Linked DNA regions of Cricetulus griseus. The protein of the gene in region 1 binds, or shares a complex with, the protein of each later gene. Links are inferred from orthologs where the notes say so. Each region holds a gene or a part of one and is shown on either strand. Other genes may lie near its edges. The genes, in order: Nup58, Nup93 and Nup54.

What was found.
Region 2: Nup58 (region 1) and Nup93 share a complex: the UniProt entries of both Homo sapiens proteins name them as parts of the p62 complex. The link is inferred for Cricetulus griseus from reciprocal best matches to the Homo sapiens genes NUP58 and NUP93.
Region 3: the proteins of Nup58 (region 1) and Nup54 are in contact, whole or in part, in a crystal structure (PDB 4JO7), measured with the Homo sapiens proteins. The link is inferred for Cricetulus griseus from reciprocal best matches to the Homo sapiens genes NUP58 and NUP54. Residues at the interface, in NP_054808.1 of Homo sapiens: Pro342, Tyr345, Phe346, Leu349, Val350, Phe353, Gln356, Leu357, Tyr360, Gln363, Ile364, Leu367, Leu371, Gln374, Ser378, Ile392, Tyr393, Phe396, Leu399, Ala400, Leu403, Ile406, His407, Val410, Lys414, Tyr417, Tyr420, Arg421; in NP_059122.2 of Homo sapiens: Tyr453, Leu459, Glu462, His466, Leu467, Gln469, Gln470, Gln471, Gly473, Leu474, His476, Leu477, Ile478, Ile480, Ile481, Asp484, Leu485, Ile488, Lys489, Leu490, Val491.

The regions. Positions count from the first base shown.
Region 1 is NW_023276807.1:215,232,968-215,236,619, reverse strand, and holds part of Nup58 (nucleoporin p58/p45), read left to right. Parts: intron 1-2,840; coding exon 2,841-2,990; intron 2,991-3,652. UniProt on the Homo sapiens protein: Component of the nuclear pore complex, a complex required for the trafficking across the nuclear membrane.
Region 2 is NC_048596.1:170,541,459-170,545,110, reverse strand, and holds part of Nup93 (nuclear pore complex protein Nup93), read right to left. Parts: intron 3,286-3,652; coding exon 3,094-3,285; intron 2,496-3,093; coding exon 2,369-2,495; intron 2,256-2,368; coding exon 2,183-2,255; intron 1,925-2,182; coding exon 1,880-1,924; intron 652-1,879; coding exon 535-651; intron 1-534. UniProt on the Homo sapiens protein: Plays a role in the nuclear pore complex (NPC) assembly and/or maintenance. May anchor nucleoporins, but not NUP153 and TPR, to the NPC. During renal development, regulates podocyte migration and proliferation through SMAD4 signaling.
Region 3 is NW_023276807.1:157,229,730-157,233,381, reverse strand, and holds part of Nup54 (nucleoporin p54), read left to right. Parts: intron 1-362; coding exon 363-589; intron 590-3,093; coding exon 3,094-3,281; intron 3,282-3,652. UniProt on the Homo sapiens protein: Component of the nuclear pore complex, a complex required for the trafficking across the nuclear membrane.

The DNA.
Region 1 (3,652 bases):
AATTTTTGAGAAGAGATCAAACTCTGGTTTTCTAATGAATTGAGTAGCTTTTCTCCTCTCATCTAATATTTCAGAGTAGGGAGGAAGAAAATTAATTACAAAGAATTTTGTCTGGATCCCACATAATTGTTTTTCAATAACCTTTCAGTATTTGGGTATATAAAAAACTGAATGTTTCTGTATCATGCCTTTGTAAGTTACAGATTTATTTTAAACATAGATGACTTTTGATGTGGAAGTTTATGTCATATTACATTTCCAGGTGTTTGACTTTATATGAGAAAGCACCAAACTATGTGACAGTCTTAGAATTAGCCCTGGTTGTATCTCTGAAAGGTTGTGAGATGTTAACTGTCCTATCATACCTTGAAGCAAAGCTTTTAGTTATCTATAACATTACAGAATTATGGGGCTGGGGGCATAGCTCAGTGGAAGAGCACTTGTCCTCCTGTGTGTTTGAGGTTTAATCCTTGCTGCTGCCAAATAAAAGTAAGTAAGTGTGTGTGTGTGTGTGTGTGTGTGTGTGTGTGTGTGTGTATGTATGTATGTATGTATACATATACACATACACTCTAATGAAAGTTTTGGATTCTCTTCTACCTTGAGGACACAATAGTTTCTTAGTGGTAAGATTAAGGGAATACAAACAACTAGAGTGTCAGCCTTTCTTCAGTCTGAACAGCAGTAAATAATGGGTGGCCATAAAATAGAAGGAATGAAGGGATGGTAAAGCCCAGTGTGGTGGAGCATGTCTGTAGTCCTCAACACTCAGGAAGATCAAAGGTTGAGGACCAGTCTGGGCTACTCAGTGGGCCAGCCTGGGGATAGCTAGCAAGACTGTCTCAAGAGAGGTATGTGAGTGTTAAAAGCCTTTTGTGTGGGGTTAAGGTCATCATTGGCAGACTACTAAGATGCTGCTTACTTTGTTAACTAACAATTTGACAAGATTGCTTATGAGGGTGAACATAGACCTTTCTTGTTCTCTTACAACTCACCCACACATAATTTTAAAACACTGTGCTTGGTGATGAACTCCCAGTTGTCCTCAGGGCAATCCAGAAGCATGGTTTCCGACTTTTGCAGTAACTCCAGGAGAAGCCCAAATAAGGGTTGCATTTCTTCATTTAATATTATTTGAGTAGTTAGTGCTTCTGAACTGTGTAGTCTGCTTATACATCATGCCTTGGACATTCAGCATTAACTTGAATTTGCAGTGGTGACATGGTACTAAGAATATGATTATGTCAAAACCGTTAAGTACAGGGGCAAGGTATTCATGAGCTCTGACATGGAGGGACAGGCAAGTGTATGAACATGTTCTTGTGTCTGATACTGTGCTAATGCAGGAATGACAGTGTGGAAGACAGGAGAGTAGGCTTATCTGGAGTTGGGAAATATTTTACATGAAGCAGTTGAAAATATAAAGTTGTAATCATAAAAGGATCTAAGGGAATATAAAATACTGTTCTTGGAGCTTATGATTCAGAGTGGAAATAGGAGGAAGAATTGATATTTAAAAAACTGGTTGAGACCATATAAGAATGAGCAGTATTTTGCCAGGCCTTTAGACTGTTTAACATACTTAAGCGTTCATAGGATCCTTAAGGTGGACAGAATTATTGAAGTACTGTCCTCTCAGCTCTTGCTGTTGTAAAATGAGGTTAACTGTGGTCACCTACCTGGGGCTCACAGGATTGGACCCACTAACATTCCCTCTTGGGGAGGGAAGACTCGCATGCACTGGGCTGCTCACAAAGGCAGGCCTCAGGTCCTCAAGTGCTACCCTTCCCTGAAAGTATACAAGCAGTTTGTAATTGCTGTGGAGAGAGAAACTTTTTTCAGTGGTGTAGTTGCCCAAGCCCTCACTCAGACTTCTTTTGGTCTCCACAACTAAACTCATTGTTGACCAGTGATTCCTTTTGACTTTTTTTTATCTGGGGTGAATAAACACTAGTTCATGTCTCCTAAAGAAAAGTTTATGCCAATACCAAGATGCTGCTAAAGTAACTGAGCTAATACTGAGAGTAGATGAGAGATTGCAGAGACTGACAGATTAAGAGGTTGCTTTAGAGGTGGCCTAAACTGAAGTTTTTGAGGGTGCCAGTAATCCAGCAATATTTTTTGAAACAAAGAAGCTGGTGGTAGTTAGGGTTAGATTCATATACCTGTGGTTGAAATGATAAAAATGGAGAGACCAGTGGAGGAAGCAGCAACAGAACTGGCCTGAACGGAGGAAGAGATCTACAGGCAGGAAAGGAGGAGTGAGAAGAGAGCTTGGTGCTGACAGAAACGGGGGTCCGGGAAGAAGAGGATTTTCAGGAGTACCAAATGATACTTGGGTAGTTTGTGACAGGAGGGACTACTTTTCTGTTGAGAGCAAAGAGAGTTTTGGGGAATAAGTGCTATTACAGGTAAGTCTGGGGATGGAATTGCAATTGCCATTGTGTTTGTATTCTTTTTCTTTGGGTTTTTTTTTTGTTTGTTTGTTTTTGTTTTTGTTTTTATATAGAGTCTCACTATGTCTCTCAGGCTGTCCTGGAAATCACTATATAGACCAGGCTGGTCTAGAACTCACAGAGATCTGCCTACCTATGCCTCCGGAGGGCTGGGATCAAAGGCGAGTGCCACCACACCCATCTTGCATTTCTTTTTCTTAACCCAAAGGATCATCTTTTTTATATTTTTACCATGATTTAGTCCCAACTTAAGTATTTTCTTTCACTTCTACAAATCCTTTTATCCCATTTATGATAAAGGATTATAGACATAAGGATACTAATTAAAACCAGCATAATATCTGTATGATTAAGATAAAATGATTTTTTTTTTTTTTTAAACAGGAACACCAGCTACTACATCTGCATCTACAACAGGCTTCAGTTTAGGATTCAGTAAACCTGCAGCCTCTGCTACACCATTTGCCCTGCCTGGCACGTCTACCTCAGCTAGTGGTCTCACTCTGTCGTCTGCTCTGACATCCACGCCAGCAGGTGAGACAGAATGGGAAGAAAATTGAATGTGATGCTTACATTGAAATTTTATCCAGTTAGAGAACATCAGTGGCCATTTATATTAAATAGAATACCAGGCTGGGAGATGGTGCAGTGGGTAAAGCATTTGCTATTGTTATTATAAGGATTTGTTGTACAAGAATAAAAAACTCTAAAACTCAACTATACTTTGGGAATTTTTTTATTTGAATTAGTTGGCAATTTTGTCTTTTTGAACTATTGGCTTAGTAGTTCACACCTATGATTTGGGAGGATGCCTCAGGAAGATCTTGAGTTCAAGGCAAGGCTTGGCTATGTAACAAGACTTTATTTGGGAAAAAGATAGCATTGGCCATTAAAGCAGTTTGGCCATCTTGAAATATGGCCTCTGTTCAGAATAAAGAGGATCAGAGTGGTGAAATACACAGATGTTTTTTATCTTATTTGTTGTCAAGAGACTTTATGGCAGGATGTATAAAGACATTTGTAAATTCACCTGGCTCAGGATTCATTTGCTTTTAAAGGCAGAAATATTGTCTGGGATACAAACTATATTGTCTAGAATCAGTTATTGGGTGCCATTGGAATAGTGCCCAAAGCTATTTTGTTGAATGAAGGGACAAAGGGGAGGAACCCCAGTTACTGTCTTGAAGTTGCCGTTC
Region 2 (3,652 bases), on another chromosome or scaffold:
CCTGGTGCCTACAGAGGCCAGGAAGGGCATTGGATCTCTGCAACTGGAGTCATGGGGTTAAGGATGTTGTGAGCACCATGGGGATTCTGGGAACCAACCTGGATTCTTAAGAAGAGCAACTGCTTTTGACCAGTGAGCCATCTCTCCAGTCCCAGGAAAACTTTCTTTTTAGGTTACTTAATCATCAGCAGTCATTACATATTCTTAGATAGATGCATTTAACCCAGGCTCTTGGACTATGCACTGTTGGCTACTGTAGAAGGCTACCATGGGAAACCATGGTGGCTTTGACAATGCCTATAAGAGAGCCATCCATTACGTTGCTCTTCTTTAGTCAGAGGCACCTCTTGAGCAGTAAGAACTCTGTAAAATGGGAATTTCACCCTGACTTAACCATTAACATGCTAGAGAAAGTGCTCCAGCAGGGACAGTGATAAACAAAGACAATGTTGAAAAGCTTGAGCATTTATGCTAAAAGGCCTGCAGATCTACCAAGGACAGAGAAGAAAAGAGGCATCAAAAGGGCACACTTACCTTGGCAAGATCATAAAGCTTGGCTGCTTCTTCAAACAGTCCTTTATTTTCTGCCACGGAAGCAACTTTGTTGATAATTGGCTTTGTGTCATTGGTAAACTTATCAATGACTCCAGGCTGACAAGACAAATTACGAAGGGGAAGAGAGACTCAATACCCACAGCAGCTGTGACACAGTAGCACTTGAATTGGAAATGCTTGCCCTGTGCAACACGTTTTCATTTGCCAGACTTGGGCTCTTTTGAAGACATAAACCTCACACCAAAACCATGGCAAGAAAGATAGAGCATATTTAATGGAAGCACTGTGGAGTTGGCTACAGGACATTTGTGGTTTCTAAAATGACTGAGAGTAGGCAAAATTATTAGTGATCCTAAATTTGCTGGCAATCAGGAAGTTATGAGAAAATATTTTGAAGAGTGTCAATCTGCTTTCTAAGACAGATGCTGAACAAGTACACAGGAAGTGGTGGTAAGTACTTTGGAAAAAGTTTCTATCACTATTCAACAGCAGGCATGTGATCAGGAGAGTCTGAGACCCCAGGACCCACAGGGGAGGGGTATGGACTATAACACTTGTGCTTATCCATGCTAATGCTCCATCAGGGCTGGACCAAGTTGGGATGATCTGCCCCTGGATCAACAGAATATACATGCTCACATGCTCAGATTCCAGTTGTGTGGTCTTGAAGAAAACAAATCACTTGGGAAACACAAGTTAATGGTTCTCATTTTGTTGGTGATTGTTATAACCTGGCACAATGCCCAAGAAGATGGGCTACCACCATCAGTACCATCAGACCCCTCATCTCGGCTGCTAGGCCAGCTATGCAGTTTTACAAAGAAAAGTGAGTACCTGTGGGGCACACAGGGAAAGCCATGGTCAGTACTGGGCTCCGACAATGGGTTTCTGCCCTTTTGTTATGGTGACCCCTGGCATGCCAAGTTCCAGAGGAACCGCTTAGGCTCCTGGGAAGACAGCATTTCCAGGGTTGGCAGGGAGTTCTGAGTACTCAGGGACTGCCTTTTGAGAGGAGTGAAATATATTTCTAACTTTTACATCTGGAGAGTAGGCACAGCAATCAACTTTTCTTCATGTTTTCTAAGTTAACAATGGCAAAAATTCAAACATCTTAGCTTTTGAAAAATGTCAGGCATGCTTTGAATAAATGAAAAGGCTATCTAATCATAATTTATAAATTTTAAAGAAAACAAAAATGTGTGTAAAACCAAGGCCATCAGTTGGTCCTATAATTTCCTCTTTCTTTTGTTAAAGTTACAGTATCCAGATGTGAATCCTACAATGTAACTATATTCTTTTACAGTTAGGGATACATTTAACTCACCTTTCTACTTCCGTCATTCTCTAGTTTCCCAAGGATCATATCAAACTGTGGAGGAAAAGGTTTATTTAGTTTACTGGTCAAGGAAATAAATGTAACACACAATTCCTTAGGGAAAAAGGTGGGAAGAAAAGGGGCAAAGGAGAAGTCTTACACAAACTAGGAAACAGTGGGGCTGAGATCAATATTTTCAATGTTGGAAATCAAAGAAAGCTCCACCCTAGGCCATGTACAATGTGCTCACACAGGGTGTCACATAAGAACATACTGCAGACTCCTGATAGAGCGAGAAGAAAGCTGACCTACCTCTCGACTTTCTATCACAAGCTCGCTCACACAGCGCAGAAACATGTTTTCTCCTTGACTGTCTTTCTCGTCCCTACAAATGCACAGGAACAGCTTGGGTGGTTTGTGGCATGGAATCAAAGAAGAGGCATTCTCAGAATGGACAAATAAAAGGTAGCCAAGTAAAAAGGCAAAAACAGGTTTTACCTGAGGAAGTAAAAGTACTGGAGTGCTTCCCTTGGATCCGTGGACTCAAACTTGCGGGTGTAGAGCATGAGCAGACGAACAAAGTTCAGCCGTCGCATGCAGGGTGGGTCACCAGGCTCATGGCTGACTGCACATGGGAACAGAAGGGCTCACATTCTCATAGCTCCTCTGACCCCTGCAACCCAGAACCCACTGAAATGGAATGTACAGGCCTAGAAGTACGTATTTCTGTAACCCATTCACTCCTCAATTCCCATTGTGGCCTCACTACCGTCCTGCATACAGACAGTAGAGGAAAATGTCTCATAAGTGAATGACCAGCACGCTGGCCTTTACAGGAAATAACTATGTACCTGACCATCATGGCTCATATACTGACCCACTCACTCACATATGCTTGGCTCTTCACCCACCTCTCCCACCCGGGTAGGAGGGTAGAGAGGTGGCTAGCTGGGGCTTCCAAAGTCTTTAAAGCCAAATCCCTAGTGGGCACGACATTCATGACTCTTGGAATGGCTTTGTCTGTCCACAAAGCTAGTGCCTGGCATTCCCTTTCACACCCCAGGGAACGCCAAGGGGTTATAAACAAGTACTCTAACACTAATATAAAAGTTCAAGTAGCCACAATGCTCCAGAATCCCTGGTGGCTGTCATTCCACAGCCACTGTGACCAATGGGAAGGTGTGCTGTGTCACACCACCGCTAGCCAAGGCCTGAATACTCACGGAGCTGAGCACTCTGCCCTGAGGACTTTAAAAGCAGCTTCAGTTCAAACAGCACCAGGGCCACGTGGACAGCATGGCAGCGCAGTCGCTCCATGCGGAAGAGAAAGGCAATGGCAGCCTCAAACTGCGCAGTCAGGAACAGCACTTGGAAGTAGAGGAAGGGCTGCTGGTTCACTGTGAAGTGGGACTCGCCTGGAGGAGACGAGATGAAACAACTCAGAAGGAAGCTGCCACCAGCGATCTGACCCTGGGTATCCACTGGCTTTGTTGGGTGGGGAGAAAGCAACAACATGAGCCTAAAATAGCTGAAGCCACCTTGAACAGAGTTAACTAAACTACATGGAATATGACCTGGATCCAGGCAAGGTGGTATATGCCTCTAATACTTTTAGTTACAGCAACAGAAAGGCAGAGGTAGTGGATCTCTGTGAGTTCAAGACTAGTCTGGTCTACCAAAATGAGTTCCAGGACAACTAGAGAGAGACCTTGACTTAAAAAACCAAACCAAAAAGACCTAGTTTCTCTACTTCCTCTAAGCTTCACTACATGATTCACAAGC
Region 3 (3,652 bases), about 58 Mb from region 1:
GTTTGGGTTATGATAGCATCTGTAGAGCTGCTTACTCAGCCATGTCCTCTGCTCTCCCTCCAGAGGGGCCCATGGTGCTCCAGACCTTGACAGCCCACAAGCTATTGCTCATTTAGTCTGCATTTCAGCCATTATCCAGTCTGGTCCTCTTCGACATCCTCAGGCTTTGGACAGCTTATTTGTTTTACCTCTTGGTTCTTTCCTGTCTTGGCTGCATATACTCTCACCCATATGTAGGATAATACATAAATTGGTTCCTTAGTTAGAATATGGATAGCTGGGAAGAGATTTGCTTACCATACCTTGAATCTAAGTTTTCTGGGCTTGTTTTTTTTGTTGTTTGCTTTGTTTTCCTTTTTAAGCTCTAGGCGGTCTCTTCAGTCAGCCTACACAGGCTCCTGCCCAGTCCAACCAGCTGATCAATACTGCCAGTGCCCTTTCTGCTCCAACGTTATTGGGAGATGAGAGAGATGCCATTTTGGCAAAGTGGAACCAGCTTCAGGCTTTCTGGGGAACAGGAAAAGGCTATTTCAACAATAATATTCCTCCCGTGGAGTTTACACAGGAAAACCCCTTTTGCCGATTTAAGGTATCAATTGTCTTTGATCTTCATTTAAAGAGTGACTATAAAAGAGATAGTAACTTTTAGATTAAAATGACATTTAAAAGTGTTTTCTTGAGAACAATATGATTATACTTTTTATTTTAAACAAAAATTATAAAATTAAAGTGATTTTGAAAAAGTATTATATATGGTTCAGAGTGGCCACATAGTCACCAGAATAGGACTGAGAAAAAGGGTGTTGACAGAACAATGGCAAGCTAGCTGTGGTGGTGCACGCCTGAATCCCAGCTCAAGCATGGACATAGAGGGACCAGAAGTCAGTCACCCTCCGCTACAGAGCAAGTTGGAAGCCTATCTCAAAACAAACAAACAAACAAACAAACAAAAACCCAGGGCCAGCAAGGTGACTCAGTGGATGAAGGTGCTTGCCACCGAGCCTAATGATCTGAGTTTGACTCTGCCCAAAGCACATGGTAGAAGACTGACTCCTGAAAGTTGTCTTCTGACCTTTCTGTGTGTGCCATGGCATACCCCTTTAAATAAATAAATAAAAACAAAAACAAAAGAAGGCATGGTCTGCTTGCCACTTTTAAAGGGTACTAGACTTAGGTTGTTTTCATTTAACTAGTCAAGGAAGTGCCTCCTGGCCAGTGCACAGAATTCTCCTTGGCATGTAGAACCCTGTTACTATTATTAGAGTTCGATGCTAAAGACAATAAAAGAACATTGGCCACTTTCTTTGTTCTGCCTCATTGTCTATAAACAACCATCTCATTGAAACTTGACTTCAGGTAGTCTGCTCTTTAGACAGTGGTAGTGTTTTACTTTACCATTTATTTTTCTTTGTTTTTGCTTTTTGTATATGTGTGGTCTCTCTCTCTTTTTTTTTTTTTTTTCATCAAAGAAAAGCTCACAGAAGAGAGGTACTTGCTGTAATGCAGTAATAGTCCAGGCTGACCTTGAACTCATTATGTAGCCATGGTTGGCCTCAAACTTATGATCCTCTTGGCTCAGCCTCTTGAGTGTTGGGATGGTAGGGCTGCATGACCACATCCAGCTGGCAATGTGTTTCCTACATAACAAATTACATATTACAATTAAGTTTATACTTCACCCTGCATTTTTGGGGGAGGGCTGTGGTGCTTGGGAATCAAATCCAGAGCTTCATGTATGCTAGTCACATGCTTTGCACTGCACTTAACTCCAGCACTATGGGGTCATTAAATATCTAATGACATACCTTGGGGAACTCTTCTAAATAGGAAATTAATTAATGTAGCTTCAGCTTGTACATGCAGCCTAACTGTAATTTTATACGGTATTTTTTAGTGTGTTTGTGTACTATGACCCGTCATACAAGGTCGGGTGTAGAATTCTTATACTTGGGCCATCATACTGACAGCATAAAGTTTCAGTATTTGGAGCACTTTGCTTTAGTAATAGCTTTGTACACTAGGGTTATTAATTTCTATATCATCTGAGTGTATTAGTTGAAATTTTTAATGTTATTGTTTAGCAATAAGATATACAATAGGTTGAAGCATCAGTTTAAATGTTTTAACTTTTCTTAAAAGTTGCTATGTAATATACATATAAAATGAATGAACTTAAAATAATTTTATTAAAGTTGCATATAATGGTAACAAAGGACAAATGTTACTATATAAAGCTATTTTTAGCAATGTGTGATTCCTCATTGATGGGGGAGGTCCTGTGTATATTATTGTCTTATTGGTTGATAAATAAAGTACTGTTGGCCAATAAGAAAACAAGATAGGTGGGACTAGGAGTCAAGGAAGAAAGGTAGGAGAAAGCGCAGAGTCACCATGTGAGTCTGGGGAAGATAGGACGCTTGCTACTGGCGTCCGATAAGATAAGTCTTATAAAATATATAGATTTATGGTAATTAAGACTGAGCTAGCAGATGAGAAATCCTAGTCATTGGCCAAGCAACATTTGTACTTAATATAAGTCTCTGTGTGTTACTTGGGACCTTAACGTGGTGGCGGGCAGAACTCGGGCGGCCTGGCGGAAAGCGCCCATGTGGCAGCAGGGCTTGGTGAAAAGACTTATTGTTAACCTCATATTTAATACTATATAGTATAACTTATTCATTTAATATTACACCAATAACCTGTTTCATAGTTTTATTACATATACTCATAAGATAGACATTCTCCATGTCATTAGTATCTTGACAGTGTCATTGTACTTTAAACTTATTTTATTTGTAAATTGTTTCTTTAAAATTTAATTCAAGATTCACGAGTCAGATGAGTTGTTCCAGTGTATAAGAAATGTCCAAAAATGAATGACTATTAAGATCTTCAAGAGAAAATTCTTTAGTTCCTATGTTGGAGAGAAAATTTGAATTTCACTGTTTATGTTAGAGAAATGAAGTTTGTTTACAATATGTGATGTCCCACAGAATGGTTACCATTTCCATCATTTTAGCAGATGCTAAGCTATCTATTAAACATTTGATATAAAGTCTGCATGTATTTTTGATACTTTTGTTTATTTCACAGGCTGTAGGTTATAGTTGTATGCCCAATAATAAAGATGAAGATGGACTGGTGGTCTTAGTTTTCAACAAAAAAGAAGCAGACATTAGAAGCCAGCAACAACAGTTGGTAGAATCATTACATAAGGTTTTGGGAGGAAACCAGACCCTTACTGTCAATGTGGAGGGCATTAAGACACTGCCAGATGATCAGTAAGTATACATGCATACATACATGCATGCATGAATACAGGTTCTGTTGTGGGGTTTGTTGCTGAAACATAAATCTCCAGTTGGTGATTATTAATGTATTTACAGAAATGGTGAAAAGCTTTTTTTCTTTTTTGGATTTCTTAGACGCTAGCATGTAGATTTCATTCAGGAGCCGCAGGGCACATTATGGCTGTGCACAGATTGAATGAAACTTTACTGGACCATTTAGATAACTGGCTCCTTTTGCCTGTTTTGGGTTTTGTTGTTCTTTTTTTGGTGAGTTTGAGAGAGTCTTGCTGTGTAGTGCTGGTTATCCAGAAATGCATTCTGTAGCCCAGGCTAGCCTTGTGCTAGTGTTGCAGAAGTGCAGT